Rattus norvegicus: one gene and its partner. The protein of the gene in region 1 purifies or fractionates together with the protein of each later gene. This does not show direct contact. Links are inferred from orthologs where the notes say so. Each region holds a gene or a part of one and is shown in the gene's direction. Other genes may lie near its edges.

Region 1 (8,378 bases):
TACAGCCCCAGTCCAGAGCAAAGAGGCCTTACAGATACGACACCCTAGTTTAGAAAGTAGAAGGAAACATCTGGCAAGCGCTGTGATGCCAAACCCAAGCAAAGCTGTAAACACTGCAAGTCGTTTTTTCCTTCCAAAAGAGCCTTTCCAAACTCCGTAAGCGCCTCTTTGCCAATCCTTTGTCACTGCAAACCCAGAAACAAATTAAAGAACTGAAGTTTCTTGTGGGCTAGGAAGCTGAACTCCTAGGACCTAATCTCACGTCTTTACACCAGCTTCTGCTTCCTCCACCTGCAGACTCTCAACTTTAGATCGTTCACCTGTTAGACCATGTATGTAAAGTATGTAAAGACAGTGATCACAGAAGAGCTTTGGTTTTATGCTTGGTGATTCAGTGACACTGACTTGATTCTCATCCACGTCATACCCTCCACTCAGAACTCTATTCATTTGTTTGTTTGGTTGGTTGTTTTTTTTTTTTTTTTTTTTTTTTTTTTTTTTTCGAGACAGGGTTTCTCTGTGCAGCCTTGGCTGTCCTGGAATTTGCTCTGTAGACCAGGCTGGTCCCAGCTCAGAAGTCTTTATTGATCCCTCCATCCATTAAAAGGTTTCTGGTTTCTCTATGGTATCTTGTGGATACTTTTATATTTCTAAAATTTGTTTTAAAATTCTGTATATATGTGCCTGTGTGTTTCTGAACATAAATGTGGTATCTAACAAAGGCAGAGGAAGGTGTCATATTCCCCTGGGACTGAAGTTGTTCTGAGGCACCTGATGTGAGTGCTGGGACTTGAGTCCTGTGCAAGAGCAGTGTGCTTAGCCACCAAATCATCTCTCCATCCCACTTACAGATACCTTTATTTTAGTCTGTCACAGGGAGCGCTATAAGAAAAGGTCTGTTTGGCCCAGTTTAGAAGTTAAAGTCCATATTCTACTAGCCCTATTACCTTAGGCCCGTGACAGGACAACACAGCATGGTGGCGGTGTGTAGCAGAACAAGACCACTTCCATAAAGAGCCAAGGAGCAAAGAGGAAGAAGGGGCTGGAGTCCCACAATTCCCTTTGAAGACCACGTCACACCCTATGATCTTAAGGACCTATCAAAAGCTTCACTCCCTCCCAATAGCACTACTCCGAGGATCAAGTTTTTGGGGAACGTTTTCTGAGAGGGGAAATGTTTTTATATCGTCTTTTTTAGTAGTTCATCAGGGATGGGTACAAGATGCTCAGGACCTTTCTGTCTTTAGTAGAGCATCTATTTCTTTCCTGCTAGCTAAGACTGTTTGCTCCTCTGTCTAGCTAGTGCCCTGGGCCTACCTTCACCACCACATCCTTGTGGCAGATGCATCCATCCTTCAGCTGCCTGGATGCTCCAGCTGAAAGAGGTTGGATCAGCAGTGCCAGCATCTCCGAAAATACCTCCACTGTGACCTGACTCTCCATGTTGCTTTCCCTGAAATTCTGGCCTTCTCAGGGTCTTCTGTGCTGAGGAATGATCCTTTGCAGGTCTGCTCTAGGCAACACACTGAGCTATCTTGTTTTCTTTTGTAGACTCTAAAAGGCCACCATTAGGCCCACCAAACAGTTAACCAAGGAACTACGGGGGCCCATGCTGGAACTTGTCCCTTTGGATTTATTTCTTAAAAGTAATGTGTTACCTTAGAGCTCGGGTTGGCCTGTCAGTTGCAATGCTAACCTGCCTTTTCCCCCACTGTTGAGGTTTTCTACAGGACCAGGAAGACTGGTGGTTTATATTTAAATACAGTGCCAGAGTAAAGGACAAGGCTGGCAGGGATCCTTGAAATAAGTTCCCAGAGGAGCCTGACTCTTCACCACTCTTCTCCGAGAGCTTGTGCAGTTACAAAGGGCTGAGATGGACGTTCATTTTCTACCTTTCCCAGCAGGGATGGGAGGGAATACACACACACACACACACACACACACACACACACACACACACATTATATATATATATATATATATATATATATATATATATATATAAAATATATATAAACATATAACAGGCTGGGGATTTAGCTCAGTGGTAGAGCGCTTACCTAGGAAGCGCAAGGCCCTGGGTTCGGTCCCCAGCTCCGAAAAAAAGAACCAAAAAAAAAACAAAAAAACAAAAAAAAAACATATAACATATATAACATACAACATATATATAACATAAACATTATATATATATACATACACACACACACACACACACACACATATATATATATGTATATATATATATATATAAAATCATTTCATTGGGAATACAAAGTGAAGGATTTTTATTATGAAAAAGTCTCTGCCCAGTCTACTTAAAATGTGGTCTATGAAGCCAGGCAGTGTTGGCACATGCCTTTAATCTCAGCACTTGGGAGGCAGAGGCAGAGGCAGAGGCAGGTGGATTTCTGTGAGTTTGAAGCCAGCCTGGTCTACAGACCTAGTTATAGGACATCCAGGGCTACACAAAGAAACCCTGTCTCAAAGAACCAAAAGAGAAATACAGAATCTTGAACCCTGCCATTTCATTGAATCATAAACCACATTTTAACAAAAAGCTCAGATTTCTTTTGATATAGGGTCTCCTGTAGAATCGGCTGGAGGTGTAGCTGAGAACGACCCTGAACTTCTGGCCCACCTGCCTCCTCCTGTGTGCTGGGATTTTTGGCGTGTACCACCAGACAGTTTATGCAGTCTGGGGTTCAAGCCCGGGGTTTTGTGTATGCTAGGCAAGCACTCTATAACCTGAGCTACATCCCCCAACCCGATTCTGAGGATTTTCAGTGCCTAGTGAAGTTAAGTAGCACTGATTGTATACCGTGAGTGAGGAGGTACCACATTAGCAGAGGGGTAGGTCTATAACATAGCTGAAGCCAGGAGTTTCTGAAAAGGTTCTCAACTTTTCAAAAACTAGGTCCTATACAAACTGGATAAAACTTATTTCACTACCTGGAGTTCTCTCAGCATGCGAAATCCCTTCACCTAAAAACATTTTCTGCGGAGTAAATTACCAGGCTTCCTTAAAGGCACAGAAAAGTTAGTGCGGTAAGTACTCTGAGCTGGACCAAGTCAAGCTTTAACCCAGCTAGGTCATATCTGGGGTCGCCCATGTCCTTGGAAGCGCTCAGCAATCAATATGGGTGGGTGGGTGTGGGGTCCTGGAAGGTGAACGCCTTGTACTACTGGCCTGGCTCCTCAGGCCCTGAGATAGGCTCTTAAAAAGTTTTTGGCGGCCATTCCGCCGCGGATCGCTTATTTTTTTTTTTTTTTTTTTTGGTTCTTTTTTTCGGAGCTGGGGACCGAACCCAGGGCCTTGCGCTTCCTAGGTAAGCGCTCTACCACTGAGCTAAATCCCCAGCCCCGGATCGCTTATTTTTAAGGCCTGGAGACGCGGAATTGACTGTTTTGGAGGGCTATGTCGGACATTTCGCTGAGACAGTAGTCCTCCGGAGTAAGCGGCAAACACCTAACCATGGTGACGGCCCTACGTGACCTTCGAACTCTGACCCCGCGCCTCTCTCAGCGCTTCCGCGTGCAGCTTCCGCTCCCGCTCCTCCGGGAAAAGGCGGTCCCAGAGGGCGGGGCTCTGAGGCCGTCAGTTATGGGCGGTGCTTGTTTGAGGCGGGTCTCGCGAGGGCGGGATTTAAAGACGCACTCTCGATTGGGCTGCCGGGCAGGGGCGGGGCCTGCCGAGGCCTGGGTTGGGCGGGGCTGGGAGTTCGTAACCGCCTCTGGGTAACTGGACTCCCGCGATCAAACCTCCGGAGGCCGGGAGAGGCCTGCGGGCTTGCAGCACATCCTGGATCTGGAGTATCCCTGGCAGGAGCGGAGTCAGAGGGGCTGCGGATCCTAAAGCTGGGCTGGGAAGAACTTGCGAACTTGGAATAGAAGATCCCGGAACCCGGTAATAAAATCGGAAAGTCCCGGATCGCGGAACAGAGCTCGCGGAGCGGACTCAACACGGAGACGAGAGGCCGGATCGCTGCACCGCGGGACGGGACAGAGTGATGTCGGGCCGTGGCGCGGGCGGGTTCCCGCTGCCCCCGCTGAGCCCCGGCGGCGGCGCCGTTGCCGCGGCCCTCGGTGCGCCGCCTCCGCCTGCGGGACCCGGAATGCTGCCCAACCCGGCGCTCAGGGGCCCGGGGCCTTCTGGAGGCATGGGGGTACCGGGGGCCGCTGCCTTCCGCCCCATGGGCCCCGCGGGCCCCGCGGCGCAGTACCAGGTGAGGAAGGCAGGCGGGCGGCGCCTCGAGGGCGCTGGGTTGGTCTCCCAGGGGCCTCAGGTGAGGACGGGCCGCCCAGGGGACACTGCAGGAGGAACTGTCGAGGGCTGGTGGCAGGCAGGCCAGAGTCCTTTGGTTAGTGGCTAGGGGTTGGAGGCAATGTTGGGGAAAGGGTGAAAGCCCTTTGCGGTGGAGGACTTAAGCAGTTAGAAGAGTCCCGGGAGTTCTTGGCATTGAGTAACTTAGAGATGGAGGCTTCGTGGGATTTAGAGAATTGTGGGCAATCAGGTTGAAAAGTGTAAGGCAGGTCCCGGAGTAGAGGTGAGGGAGTGACCCGGGATGTGGTGAGGAAATTTTGGAAGAGGGTCGTTAGTGAGAAAACAGGGCTACTCTTTCTTTGGAGTCGGTCCCACTGCATCTCTGCCTTGGCTGTTTTGTTTTTTGTTTTTTTTCCTAGTTGGGAACTGGCAGAGAGTTAGTATATCTGTGATGGCTCCCAGCTGCTCAAGTTGAAGCCTGGCTTCCTACGAAATGGGAGACCAAAGGGAGGGAGCCCAGATACTCCCAGGATAGATTAGAGATAGCGATGGCCAGGTCTGAAGAAAGCCCGATCGCATTAACAGACCCATCTAGATATCCTCTGTACTGGGCATTCTTCCTGATGTCAGTGTCCAGTAGTTAAGTTTGGAGGAGCAGGGAGGCTTTGTGGAGTCCTGCTGGTCTTGGGTTGCATAGGGTACTTCAAGACCCTTCTGTCTGGGAAGAGAGCAGTCTCAGGTTGCTGCGTCAAAGGTCGTTGACAAGCAGAGACAAGATCCTGTGGTCAGTGCACTGGGAACTCACCCAGCGGGACTCTGTATGTGGGGCTCCTCCTCATACCCCAGGGCTCTGGTTCAAGTTGCTCCGGGATATTTGGGAGTTTCATTTTGCTTTTCCTTTCGGTGCTGAGCCTGCACCGGGTGGAACCCCGGGCAGGCTTTGCACGAGGCAGATCATTGCTATCAGTGAACTGCACCTTTCCCAGAGTGCCTGGGACTGTGTCCATCCTTTCCCACATCCTTGTCACTTTTGGTCCTTGCTTTTTGATACAGGGTCCCATATAGTCTAGGCTGTGTAGCCAAAGCTGGCCTTGAACTCTTTCTGCCTCTCAAGTGCTGGGACTGCAGTCACGAAGGTCCGAAGGTGTAGCTTACTCTGTCCTCTGCTGGTGTCTCAGGTAGACGTCTCAGAAATAGATCTTCATGGAGCATGCATATTATACCCAGGAGTCAGATTCCTGAGGAGATACCTAACTGAGGGTTGGGATAAGTGACCCACTTCGCTTCTCTTTCTATCTCAAAAGAAAATGACGAGTTTGGGTATGAACAGGGATAGACTTGGTCCCAAGGATACTCTCTGGGGTTTATCTTTCCCATGTTGCTTTCTTTGGAGATTAATGGACCTTGTGTCTCACCGATGAGTACTGACATCAGTTATTCCAGCCCTTGGTCTTGCTTGCTTAGAACTGATCTGGTAGCTTCCTACAGACACTGGGGATATCTGGTTTGGTTAGTTTTCTGAGCCCTGGCTGTCCTGCAACTAATTATGTAGACCAGTCCCCTTGGCATGCAGCTGACAGAGAAGTACCCTTGGGAAAGTTCCTGTGAAGACGGGAAGATGGATTCCTGCATGCTTTGTAGAGAGTGACCTTGGGCCTATGCTGAGGCCAGGCTGGCCAGCTGGATAGCTGTGGCTACTAGTTGTGAGAAAGGAGATGGCCTTGAGTCTGGCATCTTGTTACCTCTTCCTCCTCCTCTTTGTCTTCCTCCCCTCCTCCTCTTCCTCCTCTGAAGGACAGGGAAAGGAGGAAGGAGAACCCCATTAACATGGGTTGAGTTTGAAGGAGACCCTGCTTGCTTTTTCCCATCCCTTCCAGGTGTCCATCTTCCAGAAAGGCTTGGGGTCTGAGGACAAAGGGGCTCCTCCTGGTTAGAGCTCTTGGGGGTGAGCAGGAAGGGCAAGGATGTGTGTGCTCAGGCTGGGCATGGGAAGGCTGCTGACATAAATTGATAGCTCATTTACCTCTAGAGGGTTTTTCTAGTTTTGGAGAACAATCAGCCTGAAGGGTTTAAAGTACCACGATCAAAACCAAAACAGAAAGCCTAGTGTGCATTATTGCCGGCTTCACTCAGCTCAGAGTTTAAAGTACCCTCTGTTCATAGGGCCAGGGTCTGGCCTCCAAATGAGGCTCTGAGGTTCAAGCAGCTCTTAGCAGGATCCCGGCTACAGACTTTTCTGGAGAGCAGAACATGCTTACTTGAGCCCTAGATTCTTAGCCCAGAGCTGGCAGGATGAGGTCTAGCCTACTTCCCTTATCTTCTTGGTGGTTATAAAATTTAGCCTAGAGGGTGGGCTTGGTGCTTGACCAAGTGGAAGTTACTGCATTCCGGAGTCCTGGGGACTTAAGCAGGCCTCGTACTCTGTGGTGGGGCAGGCTGGCCGAGAGGCTGAGACTCTGTTTCAGTGACTTTGTTTTGTTTTTAAGTCGGAGTTACTCAGCTCTTCAAAGCCCAGGTGTAGAGCTCGACAAGAAGAAACTAGGACTTGAATTGTGAGCAGCCTTCCCCTGAGGCTGCGGGTGAGCCAGGGGACTGAAGCCCAAGCCCCAGAAGTGGGGAACAGATGTCTGGGTGGGGCCTATTCCAGGCCTGCCTGGGCTGCCTTGCGGGGGGATTTCCTGGAGGGCTCAGCAGTGCTATAGGCTTTATGAACCTTGGTGGAGAGCTTTTGGGGGACCAGAGCGCCTCAGATATATCTGCAGTAACTCTAGGGAACCCTCAAGTCTGGGTGATGATGGGGTCTTAGAGCTTCGGCCACCTGAGGCTTTTCTTTTGTCCCCTCCCCCCTTCTATAATCTCTGGCTCTGGCTTATTAGAGCAGAGAAACAGGCTGTCTTCTGCCTTTCAACAGCTTTGATGAATTTCTTCCTGATGAGGAGAGACTTGTGGCAGGACTCCCAAGGTCCCAGGGTCTCCCACTTTTAACTCCTCAATTGCCACTGTATCCTTGCTCTGCTCCTATCCCCTTTCCCTTGTCTCTGGGTCGTGTTTCTTCCCCTCCCTCTGCTACTGGTCATGAGTCTGACTCCTTAGTGCCAGATAAAGAAGTCGCAGAGACTCATCTTCAGGATGCTTGGGTGTGGGGGTTAGGGGGTGGGCCTTTAACTTGGTATGAATCTCCACCCAGGCTGGCCTGGTTGTCTGGTTGTACTGATTGATTGCATAACCTGGGCCCCGGGGGCCAGGCCTGTGAAGCTGCCAGGGACAGTGTGTGCAAGGCAGAGCTGCCAAACAGGCCTTTCAGGCAGCAGCTATGTGCATGGAGCTGGGAGGTGGAGGGCTCCCAGAAAGGTTGGAAAACTGGGCCTTGGATGGGAAGTCAAGAAGCTACTCGTGTCACCCAGATTGTTGCTGTGACTCTGTGTCCTTCCATCCCAGACAGTCTTAGTCTGCAGTTTGGGCTGGCTAGGGTTAAGTCGGACCAGCAGCAGCCTGGCTGCCAGGTGGTGCCGAGACCATGGGCAGAGGCCAGATGTTTGCTGTTCTCATTCCCATAGGCCACCCAAGAACCATAATTTCCCTTTTTGAGGGTCTTTTGACATAGAGATAGGGGCATGGCAATGGGGGGGGGGGGGCAACAACGGGTTCAGGTTTTGTAGGGGCCATATGGTGACCAGATGGTGTCTATACTCTCCTGAGGCCATCCCCACAAGTTGTGACATAGCAAAGCCATACATTATACTGCTCACCTGAGGTGCTGCTGCCTAATGGTTTGCCATCCCTACTGCCTTTCTTCCCGTCATGCCACCAGGCACAGGCTGTTTACATCCTCCCGGACTCCCCTGGTTGCTGTTGCTATGCATTGCCTCTGGTCTCCCGAGTAATGTTTTTCCTTCAGGATGGGGAAAGGAAGAAGGGGTGTCTAGGGGCTATCTAGGGACTCTATAAATACCTTGAAGCTGGCCGATCCCAGGGTGCAGGACATAGCATATTGGAGCTGGAAAGGTGTTGATAAGTCCTAAAAAATTCCCCAGGTCCTGCCTTCTGCAAGAGGCACTCTCCTCCCGCCCATGGACTCCGGCTGCCTCATTTGTTGGCACGGCTGCCAGGGCGG
Region 2 (7,648 bases), on another chromosome or scaffold:
CTCTTCAGAAGGGGGCTGAAGTGGGGAGGACACGGGGCCTCGTGCCATCGTTGCCTCGGATCGCCACGGGCATCCGAGTTCAGGAGTATCTCAGTAACTCTCCTTCTGAGATACCACCTCATTATGTGCTCAAAATTGCTCTTAATGCTTCCCTAGCAGCAGCCTGAGCCGGGCAAAGCTGCTATGGCTGCCTTGACAGTGCGCTGTGGACCATCACTGCTTTGTTAGGAAACATTCTAAAATATAAATAAACATTCATCCACACACATATACATAGAACCAAGCATATGGTAAAGACTGCAGAAGTGGAACTCTGCCTCAGAGACTTAAGGAAATGTGCGTTTAGCTTAATTAAACTGTATGCAAGGAAAACGTTTGTGGTACCATAAGAATATCTTGCTGTAAGTTTTCCCCCTCCCCAGTGGTTTTAGAACCTGGGATATAGTGTTCACAGCATAGAAGCAGGTCCAAGTGGCTCTTCAACAACTGCAAAAGTTCCTGGGCCTCCAGAAGGCCTTTCCCACTGTTGGAGGTCCTCAAGTGGGGACTAGAGAGATGGCTCAGAGTGGTTAGAGCACTGGCTGCTCTTTCGAAGGACCCAGGTTTGGTCCCCAGGACCCAGTGGTGACTCAACCATTGTAACTCCAGTTCCAGAGGCTCCAACACCTTCTGAGCTCCATGGCACTTGTCTCACGTGATATACATACATATGAAATAAAAGTAGATCTAAGAGAAAAAACCTCCTCAGAGGGTCCCAGCAGCTCGTGTCTAGGAACGAGAGAGACGTGTTTCATGGCAGCAGTAAGCACACGTGCTCTCTGTCGGGCTCCGTTTCTCTGCTCCTCTCTCGTTAGGACAGCAGTTGGCTCACCAGCAAGCCTTGGGCCAGGGAGAAGTCCACTGTTGCTCTCAGCTGCAGTCTCCTGTGGTCACCATGTTTGTGTCACACCTCGCTCTTTTGTCCTGTGCAGAAGATAATGAGTCTCTTAATTCTTAACCTGAGCACAGTCAGAACTTTCATGCATTTTTTTTAACTACGTGCAAGCATTGATAGAACATGTCTAAGACCATTAGTGTGAAGGGTGCTGTGCTGAGTGGACGCAGAATCAACAAGCCTGGCTCATAGGTGGGAGAGCAGTCGTCAGCCCACTGTAGACAGCACTGCAAAGGAGCATTCCGGCCCACGCTGGGGAAAACTGAGCTGGGTGTAGATTAGCCAGCAGGCCTCCTGGGTTAGCACAGGCACCTACATGCTTCTGCTATGTGAACTGCTTTGGGAAAAAGGGAAGAGGGACAAGAACTGTCATCTTTGAGCTGGAGAGACGACTTAGATGCTGTACTTGCCAAGGACCCAGTTTCTACTCCCAGTAGCTACGGCCCAGGTCATGTGGCTCACAACTGCCTATAACTCCAGTTCCAGGTCATCCATACCCTACTTTTGGACTCAGTGGTCATATGTACACAAACACCTTAAGTAATTCTTATCTAAAGTAATTTCTAAAGGACTTGAAGTTTAAGTTCAACTCTGAAGTTAACCCTTAAAAGCTTTCCTTACCATTCTAACTGTGTCACCTCCCCACCCTGCCCTTCAGGACTGGGGACTGGATTTAGACCTTGCTGGACACTAGCACTAGGTTCTGCCCTCCCACCCCCTTTCCCTGCTTTATCTTCTTTTAATTTGAGACAGGGACTCAGTAAACTGTCCAGTCTGGCCTCAAACTTGTGATCCTCCTGCCTCAGCTTCCAAGTAGCTGGGAGAACAGACTTACACCCCTGGGCTCAGGTCACCCATGTTTATATATTTTATGTAAACATATTCTATGCCTCAGTGATCTGAGGGATTAACACTCCATGCAGAATGGCTTCAGAAAATAGCCAGAAATAGGAAACTGCTACTTGCCAAGCCTGGAGTGTGGCTTCCAGAATGGTAGGCACTGGTACAGGGGCACCTGTCTCAGTTACGCTGAGAAGCTATAAACTTTATGTAGGGAGAGCTGGCTGTCTCTTGACACAGCCTTAGCTCCCCAGTGGCTCCAAACCCCACCTACTTGGAGACATACCTGTCTCCTGTCTGTGGTTTTCCTCCTTCCCCCTGCCCCGCCCCATTCTGCAGCAAGCACCAAGTAGATACCTGTGTTTTCATAAGGACATGTTTAATCATTTTTATTTTGAGGAAAAAAAGTAGGAATGTATTTCTTGGTGATGGGAACTCCAACATCAGGCATGAGAAGTTTGACCACAGGCATCTGTTCTCTGGGCTGCTAGCCTTTTCTTTTCCAAAGCACACAAGACGTCAATGGAGTCTGGTCTCCTGGATTCAGCACTGCTATCAACATGCCTATTTCAGCTTACTTGGTTTAGGTATTAAATTAAGAGTCTGGGTCCTTTTATTTAAAGTCGCAGTATGTCACTTAGGAAAACGCAGAGCTTGTGCCTGAACTCTAGCCTGTGTTGTGTTGCTGATATGTGATGGCAGCAGCTTTAAGTGTATTTTCTTATGCTCGCCAACTCACTGCCCTTCTCTGGCCCTTCTCCCCTCCACCCCGTTCCCACCCCTCGTGCCCACCACCACCTCCTCCTGACACCAGAAGTCCAGCTCCTCTTCCACCACTGGGGAGAAGATCACAAAAGTGTATGAGCTGGGGACTGAGCCGGAGAGGAAGCTGTGGGTCGACCGCTACCTGACATTCATGGAGGAGAGGGGGTCCCCCGTGTCCAGTCTGCCGGCAGTGGGCAAGAAGCCCCTGGACCTGTTCCGACTCTATGTGTGCGTCAAAGAGATCGGAGGCTTGGCGCAGGTGAGTCTGAGTGAGGGTGGAGTGCTGGAGGCAGGCCTTTGGGTGTGCTGTTCAGCTCTGGATGTTGTATTTGGTTCTGACTTCTCTCACAGAGGAAAAGCTAAGCCTGTAGCACAGTCCCTTCCTAGGACTCTGTAGTTTGTCAGAGAGAGCTACAGTTCCTAACTGCCAGCAACTCCTGTGGCAGAGTCACAGCTCAATGCCCTCATCTGTACTAGACCCTTAGACCTCTTTTTCCCAGGCAGCTGTAGAATTCTCTGGAATCTGCTACAGATTCATGGTAAATACTCCAGAAGTGTTTTACAAATGACTAATTCATCATGGACCAGATAAAAATCAAATTCACTATTTTTCTATATCCAGAGCAATTTATAAATTCAAACTGTGTATAGTGGGGCTTCCATAGTTGGAAGGTGGAAAGCCAGGAGTTCAGAGCTAGCCGCAGCTGTGTGAGAACCTGCCTCAAAAGAAAAGAGAGAGAGCGATCCAGTTGTAAGAGTAAAACCTGCAGCCCTGCATGACTACGGTACTGTGCTCACCCACAGAGCTGGGGGCTGGCTGAGTAGGCCACACACCCAGGTATAGAACTCAAGGCGATGCTCATTTTCTGTCTGTGCAAAACAACAAAAACAAGAGACACGGCCATTGCTTGCTGCCCGTCAGAGTGTCCCCGAGTCCTTGTGTCCTTAACACTCTACTTTGCTCGCACCATTATTTTCAGTGAGGGGTTGGTTGAAGTGGGGATGTACCTCACCTCACCATGGCCTTTATCTGGGTTTACTTATAAGGCACAGGTCACTAACCCCAAGAATTCATGAGGAAACTCATATATAACTAAGTAAATTGCAATAGAAGCCACAGAACCAACCGATGGCAAACATGAGCTGTTCCCATGGCTCCTGCCATGACTAGGGATGGCCTGTGAACTTTCTAAAGAGTAACCATCCAGATCCCAGCCCTAGATCAATGCTGTAGAGCTGGTCCCCAGAAGCCTAAGAGGCAGTTGGAATGAGGCAGCAAACACCTCGCCAAAGTAACCTGTCACCCTAAGTGTCCCAGTTCTGTGGTTCTGGGGTGCAGGGCACACCTTTACTAGTCCCCACCCCACCCCCCGAGGACTGAGGCCTATAACTAGATCCACTAGAACTCTGGTCTAACTCTGCAGCGTCCCACATACATCACACATGCCGGGTGGACCGCCTCTCCCCATCTCCCTACTGCCTCTGCTCCTCCCACTCTGCTCACCTCCTCTAGGCTAAACTCTAATGCAAATCTCCAAGACTAAAACACTAGCATCCAGTCATCGGTGATGTGTGTTGCTCTGGTCTGGCTCCCTGAGTCACAACAGTGTGTATAAGCAGATTACACCAGCACACAAGCAACTCTGCAGCTTAGCCAGTGCACACCCCAGGGACACTCACGGTATTGCTATTACCAATGGTACACCCCTCCACCCAACAAACTTCCCTGACAGCTCAGATCCTAGCACTCAGGTTGGCCATCTCTGAAGCAACCGTGGCCTGCTGTTTGTACCCACTTCCGCTGAGTACTGAAAGAGGTGTTTCCCAGAGCAATCAAGCAGTGTGTTTATTGTTGTGACTATTTAGTACTAAGTGAATGGATGTAAAGAGCCTCATGCCAAAGTTTGGATCCAGAAATTCATTAATTCATCACCATTACAAGCTACTCAACATAGCACCCATCCAAAGGCACAAGCTTCTGTCTTCCTGAGTTATTTGTGTGTTCATGTTTCATTCATGACTTTAAGTTCTCATAACCCATTCTAGGTAAAAATGAGAAAGTTGAAGCAATGCTTTCCCCCAGCGCGCGCGCACACACACACACACACACACACACACACACACACACACACACACACACACGTCTTCTCCTGGAACGTTGATAAAAACCCTATAGGACATACACAAACCTGTGTCCCAGCTACTCAGCTGCTGGCCCATACTCCAGCCAGTAGCAGGGGGCACCTTCTGTGCCCATCCCACAAGGATCCTCAAGGATGGCTTCATGGGAGACGGTAGCCAGGGTGGGTTGGTCTGTCTGTCTGTCTGTCTGTCTGTCTCTCTCTCTCTCTCTCTCTCTGTGTGTGTGTGTGTGTGTGTGTGTGTGTGTGTGTGTGTGTGTGTGTGTGTGTTGGGTTCTCCATTCATCCTGGGGCTCAGAATGAGGAAGCTCTTACTCAAGTCTATAGGAGATGTAGCGGGCAGAAGACCCCAGCAAGTGGGCGTTTATGTCACCATCAGCAGGCTCCTTAATGGTTTTATAGCTGTAAATGCTGTCTGTGTGCTGCTGAGTGGGAGTGATGAGCATTAGTTAAAAGAGGCAAATGAAAAAAGTAAGCCAAGACATGAAGTGCTTGTTTGTCTCCCAGCTTTAAACAAGCCACTTTGCTGCGAACCAACCATCCTGTCCGTTTTTTTGCTAGGTTAATAAAAACAAGAAGTGGCGTGAGCTGGCAACCAACCTGAACGTTGGCACTTCGAGCAGCGCAGCCAGCTCCCTGAAGAAGCAATATATTCAGTACCTGTTCGCCTTCGAGTGCAAAATTGAGCGTGGGGAGGAGCCCCCGCCTGAAGTCTTCAGCACGGGGGATGCGAAGAAGCAGCCCAAGCTCCAGCCGCCATCTCCTGGTAAGTGACAGTGCTACAGCAGCCTGAGCAGCTGCCCTGGGACCAGGCTCAGGCCCTCCCCGAAGGATGGAGTGCCACCTCCCTGTTAGAGCATGAAGCGGGGCACACCTGCCTTCTTTCTTCTCATCAGAGTAGACCTTAGAGTCCTGAGTCAGATGCCTTTGTATGTAATACAGGATTGAAAAATATCCCCTCTCTCTGGATAGGAGACATCTTTGTGAACCCCATTCTGGTGTTTTACAGTCTGGGTGGCGCCACCTTCAGGCCCACCTCTTCTGTCTGGGCCACTCCAGTTTGTACTTTGGAAAAATAAAATAAAATCTGGACTTAGGTTCTGCTGTTTCCTGTCCAGCAAGGTCTCACCTGAAGGGAATCCGTGTCAGTGCTATAGCAAAGGCCGGCAGGTGCCATCGTGGGGACCATGTCTGTAAGCAGCTCCTTCCTGCCACTCCACCCACACAGTTGGATAAGGTCACTCTTCATGCTCTCCTCTGGCCTACCCCCTCCCTTAGACTTTAAAGTGTGAAGTTACCACATACTGTGAGCTGGCAAATCCAGTGTTAGGGACAGGGAAATTGGACCCATGCTTGGGTCTGTGTGGTAGGCTCACTTAGGTAAACCCCACCATTTCTGGTTTCTAGTCACTGGTCATCACAGATCCCATTTAAGGCTACTTACCTGCAGCAATGGTGACACTCCTGCCATTTCTATATAAGGTGGGGCCTGTCCTGAGGCCAACTGAAAGCCCAGGTTTGTTGAGCATAGACAGTGTCTCATTCCCGGGATGCAGGTGCAGTTTACATGTCCCCAAGAGAACAAAGGCAGATAAGGAACCCAAAGCTACCCAGTGGGGCTGCAAGAGGCCTACTTGGGGATATTTGACCATGCGTTGTTCTCTGAATTCACCTTAGCCTAGAAAGAAATGCCTTTGAAATAGGTCCACTCTTGACATCCAGAAGCCAAAGAAAGAATTCTGTTCACTTCTAATGATTCTCTGCTGACTTGTCAGCATCAAGAGCAACCAGCCGTACACTGCCTGCCAATCCTTAGATAGAGGTCCAGTTCTAAGAAGGAAATCTTCCTAGAAAGCCTCACCCTTAATGATCCCAAACGTTGACCACTTGGGGCATACCTGAACATGGGACAGGCTAATTCTAAAAAGCACACATTACATTCAGTTCACAGACTGAAAGAAGTGATCTGTGAACAGCCCTGAACTGTTCTTCCAAAATAACACCCTACCGGGGTACAGGGTCCAAAGCAGTGATGTCTGCAAAGATCTAAAGATGTTTTTATTTGTCAGGAAAGACCCTGTGTCCCCAAATGGCTTGCACTCGTGTGTGGAGAATAGCTCTCCCAGCATGCCTCAGTCTCAGAACAGAAAGCCCTGCTGAGGCACAGATCCTGCAGAAAGTGGAGGCTGGTTCTCTGAACGGCCAGCACCTTCCTCTCCCCAGCTTAGAACAGCTGCCTTTATGGCAATGCTGTCATTCAACTGCACAGCAGAACTAGGCTGGGAGCTGTACCTCTTGGTGCAGATGCAGCCAAGGTCCTGCTGTGACTGGGGAGAGTGGGAGGAGCAAAGCTTCCTGGTGTTGACTGTGAGGTCAGCGTTCATTGCAGAGACACCATACACACAGCCCACGCAGGGGACAGGGAGCAGCAGCAGCCCTGCAAGCATCAGACAGCCTCCCTGGCTCCACACCCTGCCTTGCCATTGTGCCAAGATGTTTTCTTGGTCTCTTTTAACATAAAACTTTTGGGGTTGGGGATTTAGCTCAGTGGTAGAGTGCTTGCCTAGCAAGCACAAGGCCCTGAGTTCGGTCCCCAGCTCTGGAAAAAAGAAAAAAGAAAAAAAAGAAAAAAAAAAAAGAAAGAAAACTCTTAAAGTTAATTTGCAGTTAAACCTTCTTTAACCAGCACATTAAGGCAAACTAAAGCAAAGATCTCCAGTGAGTCTTCTAGATTGTTCTTCACTGAGTCACATGTTCCTAGATCATGTGTCTTTCTTCTGAGAGAGCTCCACATTGTTGCGTCTCCAGCCAGCCTGGATTTGCTGTGGCTTTATGAATCTAAAGTTAAGTTCCGTCAAGCCTTGGAGCTAGTCCTGCTTCATCTCTGCAGTTAGTCCACAGAGGGCACTCTGCAAACAGATGCACCCCTGAATTAGCTCTGTCGGGGGTTAGCATGTAGTCTGATCCC

The links. Proteins that work in one complex are often made in the same cells at the same time.
Region 2: the proteins of Smarcd2 (region 1) and Arid1b purify together in Homo sapiens (affinity purification with mass spectrometry; 5 studies listed by BioGRID and IntAct, with this or other methods). This does not show direct contact. The link is inferred for Rattus norvegicus from reciprocal best matches to the Homo sapiens genes SMARCD2 and ARID1B.

Annotation. Positions count from the first base shown.
Region 1 is NC_086028.1:91,697,956-91,706,333, reverse strand, and holds the start of Smarcd2 (SWI/SNF-related matrix-associated actin-dependent regulator of chromatin subfamily D member 2), read left to right. Parts: upstream 1-3,925; 5' UTR 3,926-4,010; coding exon 4,011-4,226; intron 4,227-8,378. UniProt on the Homo sapiens protein: Involved in transcriptional activation and repression of select genes by chromatin remodeling (alteration of DNA-nucleosome topology).
Region 2 is NC_086019.1:48,300,210-48,307,857, forward strand, and holds part of Arid1b (AT-rich interactive domain-containing protein 1B), read left to right. Parts: intron 1-2,588; coding exon 2,589-2,798; intron 2,799-5,241; coding exon 5,242-5,446; intron 5,447-7,648. UniProt on the Homo sapiens protein: Involved in transcriptional activation and repression of select genes by chromatin remodeling (alteration of DNA-nucleosome topology).